4 separate regions of the Mus musculus genome follow, and all the other regions are reported to be linked to region 1. The links are microRNA targets in miRTarBase. Many come from high-throughput screens and were not tested one by one. Region 1 holds a microRNA gene; each other region holds the end of a gene's coding sequence. Distances are from middle to middle.

Evidence for each region. The annotated mature microRNA mmu-miR-297a-5p reads AUGUAUGUGUGCAUGUGCAUGU and lies in region 1 at 1,180-1,201, shown strand. An mRNA with a match to its seed (bases 2 to 7 or 8) in the 3' UTR can be bound and repressed. Matches are read on the target gene's strand: a 7mer-m8 pairs with bases 2 to 8, a 7mer-A1 pairs with bases 2 to 7 and ends in A, and an 8mer does both.
Region 2: miRTarBase lists Prex2 as a target of mmu-miR-297a-5p. Seed matches in the 3' UTR shown: 7mer-m8 at 2,144-2,150.
Region 3: miRTarBase lists Slc6a7 as a target of mmu-miR-297a-5p. Seed matches in the 3' UTR shown: 7mer-m8 at 680-686, 7mer-m8 at 684-690 and 7mer-A1 at 900-906.
Region 4: the mRNA of Tm6sf1 is a reported target of mmu-miR-297a-5p. The part of its 3' UTR that is shown has no 7-base or 8-base seed match.

Annotation. Positions count from the first base shown.
Region 1 is chr7:10,956,514-10,959,677 of GRCm38, reverse strand. It overlaps Mir297-1 (microRNA 297-1), which reads left to right and starts at 1,166; the gene lies at 1,166-1,241.
Region 2 is chr1:11,297,204-11,300,367 of GRCm38, forward strand. Prex2 (phosphatidylinositol-3,4,5-trisphosphate-dependent Rac exchange factor 2) reads left to right here. Exons shown (of 40, transcript NM_029525.1): 40 at 505-3,164. The coding sequence ends at 550. Among named protein-coding and RNA genes, the nearest start is that of A830018L16Rik, 120 kb to the right of the region's middle.
Region 3 is chr18:60,993,971-60,997,134 of GRCm38, reverse strand. Slc6a7 (solute carrier family 6 (neurotransmitter transporter, L-proline), member 7) reads left to right here. Exons shown (of 14, transcript NM_201353.1): 14 at 304-1,755. The coding sequence ends at 516. Among named protein-coding and RNA genes, the nearest start is that of Gm46632, 15 kb to the right of the region's middle.
Region 4 is chr7:81,883,059-81,886,205 of GRCm38, forward strand. It overlaps Tm6sf1 (transmembrane 6 superfamily member 1), which reads left to right. Exons shown (of 10, transcript NM_145375.4): 10 at 157-1,021. The coding sequence ends at 348. It overlaps Hdgfl3 (HDGF like 3), which reads right to left. Exons shown (of 6, transcript NM_013886.4): 6 at 1-3,025. The coding sequence ends at 3,020. Among named protein-coding and RNA genes, the nearest start is that of Tm6sf1, 26 kb to the left of the region's middle.

The sequences.
Region 1 (3,164 bases):
TACTCTTAACCGCTGAGCTATCTCTCCAGTTCCAAAGTTAACATTTGTTACTGTGACAATAAATGGCCCTGTGAAATGCTGTCTCTTTCCATAGCAAGGGAGAAGCAATTTCTAATCTCTTCTTTGTTCGTGTTAATTTAGGTCTATGAGGCACATAGTCCTTCCTGTATCATGAAATATGGATAATATAAGATTACAGAGTCACGTTGCCCCACTTTCATGGATCTGAGTTTCTCCATGGAGAAGGAACAATTGGTTTCCTCTAGGAAGGCCCCCTGCAGCAAGAGCAAGCTAGAAAATCTGCTCCCCATGTTTTGTGCAGTCGTCTTTTTATGCAGACTTTGTCCCAGATGGCTCTTTCCACTTCCACGCTGGAAAGCTGGGTTTCTCTGCAATACTTGATAATGGATTATTTCACTGTCTTTGTGTTTTGCAATGTAGTTTTACAAGGTAGTTCTGGGTAGTCTAGAACTTACTAGATAGCTCATGCTGGCCTCGAGTTTTACAGTCTTTCTTCTGTCTTCAGCTGAGATATATACCACCATGCTACGAGGGCTTTAGTTTTAATCATGCAGACTTTTTCGCTTTGATATTAAATTTAAAAAAAAATCTACTACATATTTCCTGGTGGCTCAGTGGGTAAGAGCACTTGTTGCACAAGCTAGGGACTTGTGTCCAGCTTCCCAACACCCACATGAAAAAGTATGTGCTGCCCAATATCCCCAGTGCTATTGAACAGAAACAGAAGAACACTGGGGCCCCATTCTAAGTACAGTGAGAGATCCTGCCTGGGGAAAAAGCAGAGAATGATAGAGCAGGCCACTCAGTGTCCTTTCTGCTCTCTTCCTGTACATAAGCTCATGCATCTTTGTGTGTCATATATACTGTTGCACACCTCACAATTTAATCATTTTGGCTAAAGTGATTTTGTTTTTTGGTGGAGATCTCATGTAGGCCTGGATGAACCCCAAACTCCTGACCCTCCTACTTCAATTTCTCAAGTGCATGCATGTGCAAAAGCTAATTGATTTGTTTTTGAGAAAGGGTATCACTATGAAGCTGACTAGTCTGGAACTTGCTATGTAGAATTGCCTGGCCACAGTCTCACAGAGGTGGCATTAACAGCATGTCCCACCATGCCAGGCCCTAGAGCTAAATTTAAAGAATATGTATGTATGTATGTATGTGTGCATGTGCATGTGCATGTATGCATATTGCATGTATATATTATGCATACATGTATGTATTTGCTTGTGTTTGTATGTGTACTACAGCATGCAGGTGCTTCAAGATGATCAAGAGGATGTTGGTTTCTCTGAAGTAGAGTTAAAGATGGTTTTAGCCACCTGATGTCAGTACAGGATATGGAACCCAGGTGCTTCGAAGAGAGCAGCCAATGTTCTGAACCACAAAGCCATCCATCTCTCCAGTGCCCAGCTAAATTGTCAACGGGACTGCTTATGTTTCTTCCTTTGGGGCAGAATAAAGAGATGGACCTGACAAACCCTTTTAGCTACTGAATCAATTTAAGGTATTCACTCTAGTCAATTTGGAGGTTGTTCAGCATACATAATTATTTGTTTGAGACAGGGTCTACCCATGTAACTCTGGCTGGATGGGAATTCATTGTGTAAATTAGACTAATCTATATATTTTCTACAATCCTGCCATTAAGCTTGGAGCTCTAGGGTTTCTTGTGCCCTCTTCTGGCTAATGAGAGCACTGCATTTGTGTGTACAGATCCATACACAAGCTCCCACAGTATATGCATAATAAAAAATGAAATAAAATCTGGATCAGGAGAGATGACTCATTAGTTAAAGCATTGGCTGCTCTTCTAGAAGACCTTTGTTCAACTTACAGCACTCAAAGTAACTCACAATTATTTTTGACTCCAGTTTTAGGGGACACATGCTCTCTTCTATCCTCTACATGTGCCAGGCATGCAGGTGCTGAACAGACATACAAAAATGCAGGAAAACACCCATGTGCAATCAACCAATCTATTTTTAATTAAAAATTTTTGACAGGAGTGCTGATATACTCCTTTAATCCCAGTGTGGACACTATGCCCCTCCTTAGATTTGGGAACAAAACACCCATGGAAGGAGTTACAGAGACAAAGTTTGGAGCTGAGATGAAAGGATGGACAATGTAGAGACTGCCATATCCAGGGATCCACCCCATAATCAGCATCCAAACGCTGACACCATTGCATACACTAGCAAGATTTTATTGAAAGGACCCAGATGTAGCTGTCTCTTGTGAGACTATGCCGGGGCCTAGCAAACACAGAAGTGGATGCTCACAGTCAGCTAATGGATGGATCATAGGGCTCCCAATGGAGGAGCTAGAGAAAGTAGCCAAGGAGCTAAAGGGATCTGCAACCCTATAGGTGGAACAACATTATGAACTAACCAGTACCCCGGAGCTCTTGACTCTAGCTGCATATATATCAAAAGATGGCCTAGTCGGCCATCACTGGAAAGAGAGGCCCATTGGACTTGCAAACTTTATATGCCCCAGTACAGGGGAACACCAGGGCCAAAATGGGGGAGTGGGTGGGCAGGGGATTGGGGGTGGGTGGATATGGGGGACTTTTGGTATAGCATTGGAAATGTAAATGAGCTAAATACCTAATAAAAAATGGAAAAAAAAAAGAATCCAACTTGTCTTTGATGTCATAGATTGATATATGGCAGGGACTTGTCCCTTTATTATGCTCAGGTCTGAAGAGTAAAATCATGGCAAGCTCATATTAATGCAAACAACTTTATTCACTTTGACATATTTGTTGAGCCCACTCCTGTAAACACATGCGCACACATACATGCACAAACACACACACACACACACGCACACACACACACACACACACACACACACACACACACACACACAGAGAGAGAGAGAGAAAGAGAGAGAGAGAGAGGTCTTACTTTCTTTATTTAACAGAAGATTGTGAAAACAAAACTCAGGAAAAGAATATGTTGATACCTTTGTGTCTATTTTCACTTAACATGAATATCACTTGCCAATTTTCAAGGAGAATACTGTGTATGTATTCTTTGTAAGTTACAATTTGACTTGTAGAGAATTTGGATCATGTCTCTTTACTAGATTTTTTTTATAGGCCATGTATTTCCAGAGACAAATACTCCCTG
Region 2 (3,164 bases), not on the chromosome of region 1:
GATATTACTACCAGCAAAGTAAACAGACAGACTAGAGCAAATCAACAGCTTCTAAAACAGCAAGTTCTCAACCTGTGGGTCACTTTGAGATCAATTGACCATTTCAAAGACCCACATATCAGATTTCCTGCATATTAGATATTCACATTATGATTCATAACAGTGACAAAATCACAGTTAGGGAGTAGCTGTGAAATAATTTTATGATTAGGGGTCACCAAACTCTGAGGAACTGTATTAGCCGGTTGCAGCATTAGGCCAGTTGAGAACCACTGTTAAATGATCAGCCTTCTAAACATGCACAAAGAAAGAGAAGCATTTTCGAAATCACAGGACCAAAACTAGATTAAGCTGATTCAGATGCTATTTTCTACAGTATAATCAGTGTAGTGATGGCTGATGGAGCCAAGAAATTAGTGTTGATGTATTTGTTCTACCAATAAAAAATATTCAGGTAAGAGTGGTGTTATAAGTGACTGTTATGCTGTCCTGTGTCCTTTCTAGGCTGTACAAGCTCTGCGAGCCACCACCTCCAGTAGGAGAAGAATGAGCATTCCACGTGCCATGGGACAGATGCTTCCAGATGCTGCCCAAATTAACATTCTCCACCGAAGACAAAGAGATGCAAATTAAAGATTTAAAGTTTTCCCATGATGTAAATAACTGATGTTTGGTTTGGACATTTATGCTGGAACTAGAAGTTCCTTCAGACAGTTCAGCCTTACACTCTATACATTAAGAATACAGATTCACATTAGGGCAAAATTCACTTCTCGTATTTGTAGAAAAATATACAGAGATAAAAGATTAACTATTTTGGTTCCTTTCTCATTCATTAATTATATTGTATTTGTGTTTAGCTTCCCCAATGGACAGATATTATACTTGATAGTTTTTCTTGAAGAAGTCTGTCCTAAAAATGATGACCACACTCTGGAAACAATCATACAGAAACGTTAAGGACAGTGTAGATGAGGAGTTACAGGTGTCCCATATACCACTTGAGTCACCAAGAAAGGCGCATATGAGAGGTAGGGAAGTACCTGCCTCCCTTTCTTCTTGGGCTTCCTGGTAACAAAGAGAGCTCAGAGGTTCTGGCAAGACTTTTTCCCTTTTGTTATGTCTAGTCTCTGGTCTTGTAAACACTCCAGTAGGCAGGTGCTTTTCTTGATCTTTCCAATGAGCCATGAGTGCTGCGTGATGGACCACTGATGGCGGTGGGTAGGAAGTTGCTAGGTTGGAGAGAGAGGAGTGAATGAGGATGGAAAATAATACATGTATTGACCACTCACCCCTTGCCAGAGAAAGATAAATTCTTAATTATATGAAGTCTTACTATGAAATGTCAGACTGTTAAAATAACACACCTTCCTGAGAATTTTTCTATCAAGTTATATGTGTAAGATATGAAAATAGATTTATTTGTTGTACTTCAAAAGGTCATTAGAGAAAAACTTTGATAATTTATGGAACCAAGGTATAGACTGTATTCATTCTAAAGTATATGCAATATTTATCACTTCTGTGTTAATATACTAAAATTATTTTAGCACATAAATATATTAATATTGGTTTTAAATATATATCTTTACAAATAATTAAAACAGCATCACTGTGATTATGATAGTTGTGCTTTGTTTAATGACAGGAATAAATTGTGCCTTTAGGTGATATTATCATCGTATAAATGTCATGGGGTGTACTTACACAAGCTGAGATGACTGTGGCCTCAGACACTATGACCTATGGAACCACTTCCTATAGGCTGTGCATCACTGGCCCAAAGACCTCTAACAGCACAGAACTGTGTGTGGATATGGGCTAAGCACATGAATTCCTTACTTTAACTACAGGTTTGGCAAACCATTATTCAGCTTTACTTTATAAATCTCATAATGAATTTCAGACTATCATTAAAAGCTATCATTACTGCCAGTGATATATTGAATTTAAAAGTGTGCTTCAAAGGTATGGGATACATATATCCTACAAGTTAAGAGTGAAAATTATTCATCACAGAGTACATAAGATTTTTCAGTAAATCTATTTGTGACTAATCATAGAGAAACCAACATTAGTTTCTAAAAAAAAGCCTTAGCATTTTGAATTTAATAAAGATATGACCTACGTTTGCATATATGTGACATACATCCATAACTTTCAGGATTAATATTTTTGCTATCATCAGCATATAAGTGTGAAGCTCTGGTAGTTCAGGCTGCCTTCTCTGAAAGTCTTGAGCGTAAGGAGAGCTGATTGCCCGACTAGGCAGACCCTTCACACTGCTTTACTCTTCTGTGTTCACCAGCCTCACTAAGTCTCCATAGAGGAACAGAAGGGCTACGAAGCAAGCTTATTTTATTTTTTCTCATTAAACTTGTTTTAATGGTCTCAAAATTCTGTGACAGATTTTTGGTCAAGTTGTTTCCATTAAAAAAATACTGATTTTGAAAACTAATAACTTAAAACTGCCATACACACACACACACACACACACACACACACACACACACACACACACACACACAAATGGTCCACAAAACATTCTTTCCTTCTGAAGGTTTTATGATTATATTGCCTGGGCATATTATCTGCTTTTTCAGTATTTATAAATTAGTGTATTTTAAGGATCCAGTCTATATAACAGAATGTGGTTAATGTTATCATTTTTGTTAAACATATTATTTGTGTACACAGCACTTACAAACTATAAAGCTTGCTAGTGTTTTATAGTAACGTCTATCACTGTCATATTTTTTCATAGTAAAATCATAGCTGACATGGTTTAGTGTATTCTAAATGGCACCTTTAATTACCTAGCCCACGTTTTGATATTCCTCCTTCACATAGCCTTGTAGCAGGGATGAAAGCTGACCTTGTCTTATTACCTGTACTTCACAGTTCTGCTAAGCAAATACTAACCCAGTGACTTGCACAAGTCCACTTGATGAACATGGGGGAGTCCGAAGTTAATGGTTAAAACCTGTCTTAAGGATTGCACTGCCTTTATCTGTTGTATGAGTACCATTATAATATTAATAATTATTTTCTGACTAAAGTTGGAGTTTTATGACATGTATTGTCATTTAATTTATATGGAAGATGTTGCAAAGTCCAGTGGGAATATGCAGAATGCCTTTAAAGTGCAAGAACTATTTTCTTGG
Region 3 (3,164 bases), not on the chromosome of region 1:
AAAGTCCCCAACAAGTCTGGATTCTATTTTCCGCAGAAGAGAGTTAGAAAAGAGCTGAGTCTACGTTTAAATGCTTGTTGGTGTGTGTGTGTGTGTATTGTCTCACAACCTTAGCAACCACGCTATTCCCAAAACTAAATAGTCATGTCCTCTTTACGTGCCCCAGTGTGGAGTTGACAGATGGTGCCTGGAGGCCACCAGTCCCAAAGTGGCAGAGCAGATTCTCACTGGGCATAGGCAGGTCTTTGCAGGGTACCTGGCCATGATAAATGCTCAGTGTCCATTATCATTGCTTTACTGCAGAGACTTCAGCAAGCCAGTCGGCCTGCTATGGACTGGGGCCCATCTCTGGAAGAGAACCGGACGGGAATGTATGTGGCCACACTGGCTGGGAGCCAGTCACCAAAGCCACTGATGGTACACATGCGCAAATACGGGGGCATCACCAGCTTCGAGAACACGGCCATTGAGGTGGACCGTGAGATCGCAGAGGAGGAGGAGGAGTCTATGATGTGAGGCCAGAGACCACCAAATAGGAGGGCTGGTCGGGGCCTCACAGTCCCTTCCGTGGCCTGCAGGGGATTCTGACAGGCAATGGGAGGTTGCCGTGGCAACGACAGTCCCCAGCATAAGTCCCTCTTAGTGGCCTCTACATCTCCTGGAACCTCTATCTAGATGGACATACATACACTAGGTAACTCATTCAAAGCTGAAATGATCCAGCTCAGCCCTTGGTTTGTGAGGGATGTGTTGAAGCCAGGGAGAGAAGGTCTGGACCAAAGTCACATGCCCAAGAGGACCTGTTCCCAAGCCTCCAGCCAGCCAACTCCCTTTCTCTTTGGGGGGAGCAAGCACCATGTTTGATATCATTGTTCAGACATTTTGACAAGATACATTTCCATACAAGCCAACTTTAAACCCCCGGGGTCAGGGTAGTGGAACGCTGGAGAGTCCCAAGGTCCTGGATAGAGAGAGCCAGGGAGTGAATTGGGCAGAAAAGTCTCTGTGGGTTCCTATGTTAAGGCCAGTTTTTCCAGAAGAGGTGGGAGCTTTGGGGGCTGAGAGAGATGAAAGATTGCAGAACATGCAGGAGGGAAGGCTTATGGGTCAGAGCTGCCGCTGGGCCAGGAGGAGGCCCAATCTGCCAGAGCAGAGACCAGGAGTGGCTGGAGATGCTGATGCTCCCAGGTTATAAGAGGGAATGAGGACTATTAGCAGGGAGGGGGAGCCAGAAAGGCAGGGTGGGGGGACTTGCATGGCACTGTATAGCATTTTAGGTCTGTTTGGGGGTGGATTAGGGACAGGTATAGAGGTGGGAGGACTGTGGAGGACAGGAGAGAGGTACTAATGGCTGGAGTTAGATGCTTGGGTGGGAGTGGGTAGAGCCCACCCTTCACCGTTTGGATACCATCCTTGGGCTGGCAGGCGTCCTGAAGAGCTCCCACCATGGGGATAGGAATGAGAAATGAGAGTTTTCTCCCTTGCCGCTGTGGCTTCCAATAACAATGGCTACCGAGACTCTGAGGTGGTCCACACGTCGGACATCCTGATGCTGCAGGGCACCTGACAGGGGGCAGCCTCTGTCCTGGGTCCCTGCGAGATGCTGTTCAGGTGTGGCCCACGCACTGCATTCCCCAGGAGAGCAGGGCACGTTTCATGCAGCATATGACCTAAGAGTGACCTCTCTCCTGGCCTCTCCCCAGCCCATTTGTGTTCTTCTGGTAGGTTGTCAATAAATCCCAAATGGCATCGTCATCTTTACCTGACTCTGCTACAAAAGGCACAGTGGGCGGCGCGGAGTGCTTGCCAGCTCCCACTGGACAGAGGAGGGGCCCAGGGCTGGCCGCTCCTGTTTCTTGCGATCCTGACTTCTGGTGCTCGTTTTTTGTAATGTCTCTGGAGAAACACTGGACCCCTAGAAAGTGCTCAGTCTCCCGATTACATAAAGACAAACGGAGCCCCCGAGGAGAGATACTTGCCCAAAGCGGGGAGGGTAGCAGGTCTTGGCGGCCTTCACCACCACCCCAGAGTATCCCTGCAAGTGAGGCTGGAGCTTGGGTTTTCTAAGCTGAGGAATCTCCCGGTGTTCTCACCCGCTTCCTGCAGGGCCTCAACACATGAAAGAGCCCTAAGCCTTTCTAATGCAGACCCAGGTGTCTGCAAGGCTTTGATGGGGAAGAAAGGAAGGTGGCTGATATTTGGGTATTAATACACTGCCCCTTTCAAAGGGCCAGACCCGCCCACCCCTTTGTTGATACTCCAGGTGGGAAAAGAGTGATGCAGGACCCCCGTTCCCAAGGCAGGCTCCTCTTCCCATACCGGGTACAGCTTCCAGCTTCTGGCAGGGCCCCTGGCCTGCAGCCTCCTTGTCATACCCAATTTGGGGAGTTGGTTCACTCTGCCCACTCAGAGCTGTGGTTCTGAGGGTCTTGCCTTGGGCACCTAGTCATGGCTGCAGCAGGCGACCAAGGAAAGACGAGAGGACCTTGGAGCTGAGACGTCACTTCTTCCACATTGCCATGTGAGAAGGGTCAGAAGGTTATGGGTCACCCGAGTTTTGTGGCCTCTACCTCAGCTCTCAAGGTTTCCCTTGAACCCCCAACTTTTTCACCTCCCCATCCCTCCTCTCCAGCCCAGGCCCCGGATTTGCAAGTTCTCTTGTTACCCATGCTCCGTCTCTGGGCCAGCCAACACACCTTTCCCATTTCTGTGCTCTCTGATTGGCCTTCCTGTTGGGCCACAGTCTCCCTTTGCTTGTGCCATCTCCCAAGCACCCAGGGCAAGTCCTTTACTGATTTCTGATCTCTCTGAGTCACAGTAGACTTGGGTAGACACCAGCCAGGTGGGAAAGCCAACTGGGAACCAGAGGTCCCATCTGGAAGGCTCCATGACAGCACAGGTCGGAAACCAAGGGGAACACTGGCTAAATCCACAATTGGACCTCGGCCTGCAGTCTAGAAGGTACTGGTTAGCTGATACCACCAGGGTCCACAAAACCAGTTAGGGAGGCGAGGAGAGTAATGATATCGATAGAGATGGGGAAATACTGAGCAAGAGACCCATAGTGGGCGTTGGCAGGACAAGAGCGGGACTAGGGTGTTGAAACTTAGAAAATGAAGCATGTCTATCAGGTGATGCTCTGTCTCAGAAGGTAGCCTGGTTGC
Region 4 (3,147 bases), 71 Mb from region 1:
AAGATTATATATTAAGACTGGATTACCTAAAGGTATTTTGCCTTTAAGACAGGTTTTGAGGGCACATGGTCTGAATGAGACACTCAGAATTCATCATTAATCCAAGTGAACAGAGCTCATCCTTACTGTTTTTTTGTTTTGTTTTAATATAAACAGGCTCAGTTTTCTCACATTGGTGCGTCCCTTCATGCTAGAACTGCTTATGTCTACAGAGTCCCCGAAGAAGCGAAAATCTTTTTTCTAGCACTAAACATAGCATATGGAGTTCTTCCTCAGCTCTTGGCCTACCGTTGTACCTACAATCCCGAGTTCTTCCTAAGAACTAAGGCAGATGAGAAGTTGGAATAAACAAACATACCTCACAGTTCTCTCTGACCTGTTAATGGGACTGGCGCTCTCCTTTATCCCCTCCATACAGGAATACTCACAAGAACACACTTGTTCTGCAGCATACATGTGAGTGAAACTAAGGGTAGTATCTGGGTATATTCTCAGTTTTGAAAGAAAATTAAAGTTGAGAAACAGCTTTTTTAAGGAAATATATCACCATTTGTCTATGAATGTGACCATTGATTTTAGCATTGTTTGCACATAGTATGTGTGAAAATTACAACTCTAGTGCCTACAAAAAGCATAAAAATGAAACTATTCAGAAGTAACTAACCATACTATGCATAAGAAATAATTCAAAACAGCAATTGCAGGTTGGAGAAATGGCTTCATATGAAATGTATGAGTTGTTGACAATCTTAATATAAATGCCAGATCATCACAATATTTTTAAATTGATTCAAGTGTTTTCACAAGGAAAGCATATTATTTATTGCCATTTTAAAAATTGCTGTCAAAACTTCTATTGTGAATTTGAATAGCTAAGATGACACAAATCAACTTTATTAGTTGCCTTAATGAACACTTGTTTTATTGGTTGATAATATTTCTCTTGTGTTTCTGTGTATACCTTCAATACTGTGTATACCTTCAATAAAATTATTTTTGGTGTTTATGAAGATAAACTTTATTAATTTTGAAGCATTTTATATATACATTTTCATGACAAATTTTGAACTTTTTATTTAAGAAATCTGTGCCAGGTAGTGGTAGCACACGCCTTTAATCCTTGCACTTGGGATTCAGAGACAGGCTGATCTTTTGAGTTCCAGGCTAGCCTGGTCTACAGAGTGAGTTCCAGGATAATCAGGGCTACACAGAGAAACCCTGCCTCAAACAAACAAACAAACAAAAAAACCTTTGTTATATGTTCCAATTTAAAAATGCTATCTACATTCTCCATATGTTTTGCATGATAATGAAGAGATCTTTTGTCAAATTTCATTATTTTAAACTAAAATATTTAAAATTAAAAAGTACCTTTTAAAGAAAAAACCCTGACTTAACAGCCTGTCTCTTAATGAATTTTCCATACATGGAACTGCGTGAGCACAACAGGGGACCACTGATTGCTAACCGGCAGGAGCAAGCCCAAAGGACAGTGATGTCCTGGAGGGAGGGGTGAGTAGACCAGTGCATCCAGAGCCCCACATCACCTCCATCTTCACAACGACACTGGGCTCTTAGGTCTTCTTCTATTTTCTCTTCACGTTCATTAGTTCTTCAACACAGTAAGAACACCAAAAGCAAACTGGATGCACGGAAGGCTGTGTGTAAATGCAGGGTCCCCTGAGCTGGGCTGTCGCAGACGTGCAGACAGCCCCTGCTGCTGCAGCTCCTGCTGTTGCTCCCTCCTGTCCCCCCACGGCTTTCACTTAACCTAACATCCAGAATACTTAAAAAGAAACATGATAGAAAAAATAAAATTTTCACCTGCACTTAATTCTAATGTCAATTTGCTGTCAATCTTTGCTATAATACAAGAAACACATTAATACTTCACATTACACATATGAAGCCAAATAACACTAACTCGGCTGTTTATAACCTCAAACCTTACTCCCAGTACACATTCCAATAAATTTATTCTGTAAAAACAATACATTTTTTTGTTTTTGATTTTTTTTTTTTACAGTAAACTTCTCAGCTACAAACCTCAAACACACACAAAAGATCTTCCAAGGACAAGCATAGCAGGGTTGATGAGACCCAAACTGACTAATGAGTTCTCACAGTATAAGCTGGCATAAAAATAAATAAGACTCTATCACCACAAGAGCGACAGTAATGCACACGTAACAATGGTTGGCGGATGAACGTTAACTACTCTAATTCTAGTTCTAAAAGAAAAGTCTATTTTAAACTCTGTACTCAAGAGTCAATGCTTTGTTTCCCACAGTGCTCCTGCTGAGCTCAGCTTTCAGTGTAAAGTGACCATCTTGAGGGATTGGCTCAAATTGTATTGGCTTTGGGAAAAAAAATAAGTCCTTGCTTTATTTTGGTATGACACAAAAAGACTCAGTAAGTTCACATATAAACTTAGTTTGTGGACACAGGAACATGAGTTTTGAGAAGTATTAAGTTTCAACTAGCTATTTCTAATACAGAATAGGTATTGTACATATGGTTAAACTTTACACATGGCCTTAAAACTGAAAGATGACTCTAACTTCATCTCCAATACACCAACAGTATGTATCTAGGAGTTGGTTCTTGGGTTCTGCTACAAAGAAAATCCCATCCTGAAGTATTATGTTGAGCAGTCACCTAACAATATGAATTACTGTTTAGCTGAGTATCTGATGATGGTGGGAGAGAGGCAGGAAGCTGATGACTTGGAAAAGGAGCCTAGACACAGAGAAGTCTGCAAAATCTTCATCATTCTTAGTGATTAAGGGCAACTTCATGCAACCAAATAACATAAAATAAAGTCAACCTTAAAAGGGTTAAAATGTCTCTTTTTCCTTCAACAGAACAGAGAGGAATGTGACTAATGCACACACATACTGGGGCTCTGTCAATGACAACAAAGACCGTTGGTTCATATCAAATCCAAATCCAAGAATTAGACAATCAAACAGTTAACCTTCTTGTGGTGTCTCTCAATATGCAGCATTCATTACGGTAGTTAGGTCTGTAAAAAAAAAAGCAAATAAAACAAGCCTTAGATGAGCTAGGACACTACCGAGGGAAGCTCATCACCATCACCCTGTGGGCACTGGGTTCTTGTCCTTTGCAGTCTGAGTCAGCATCACA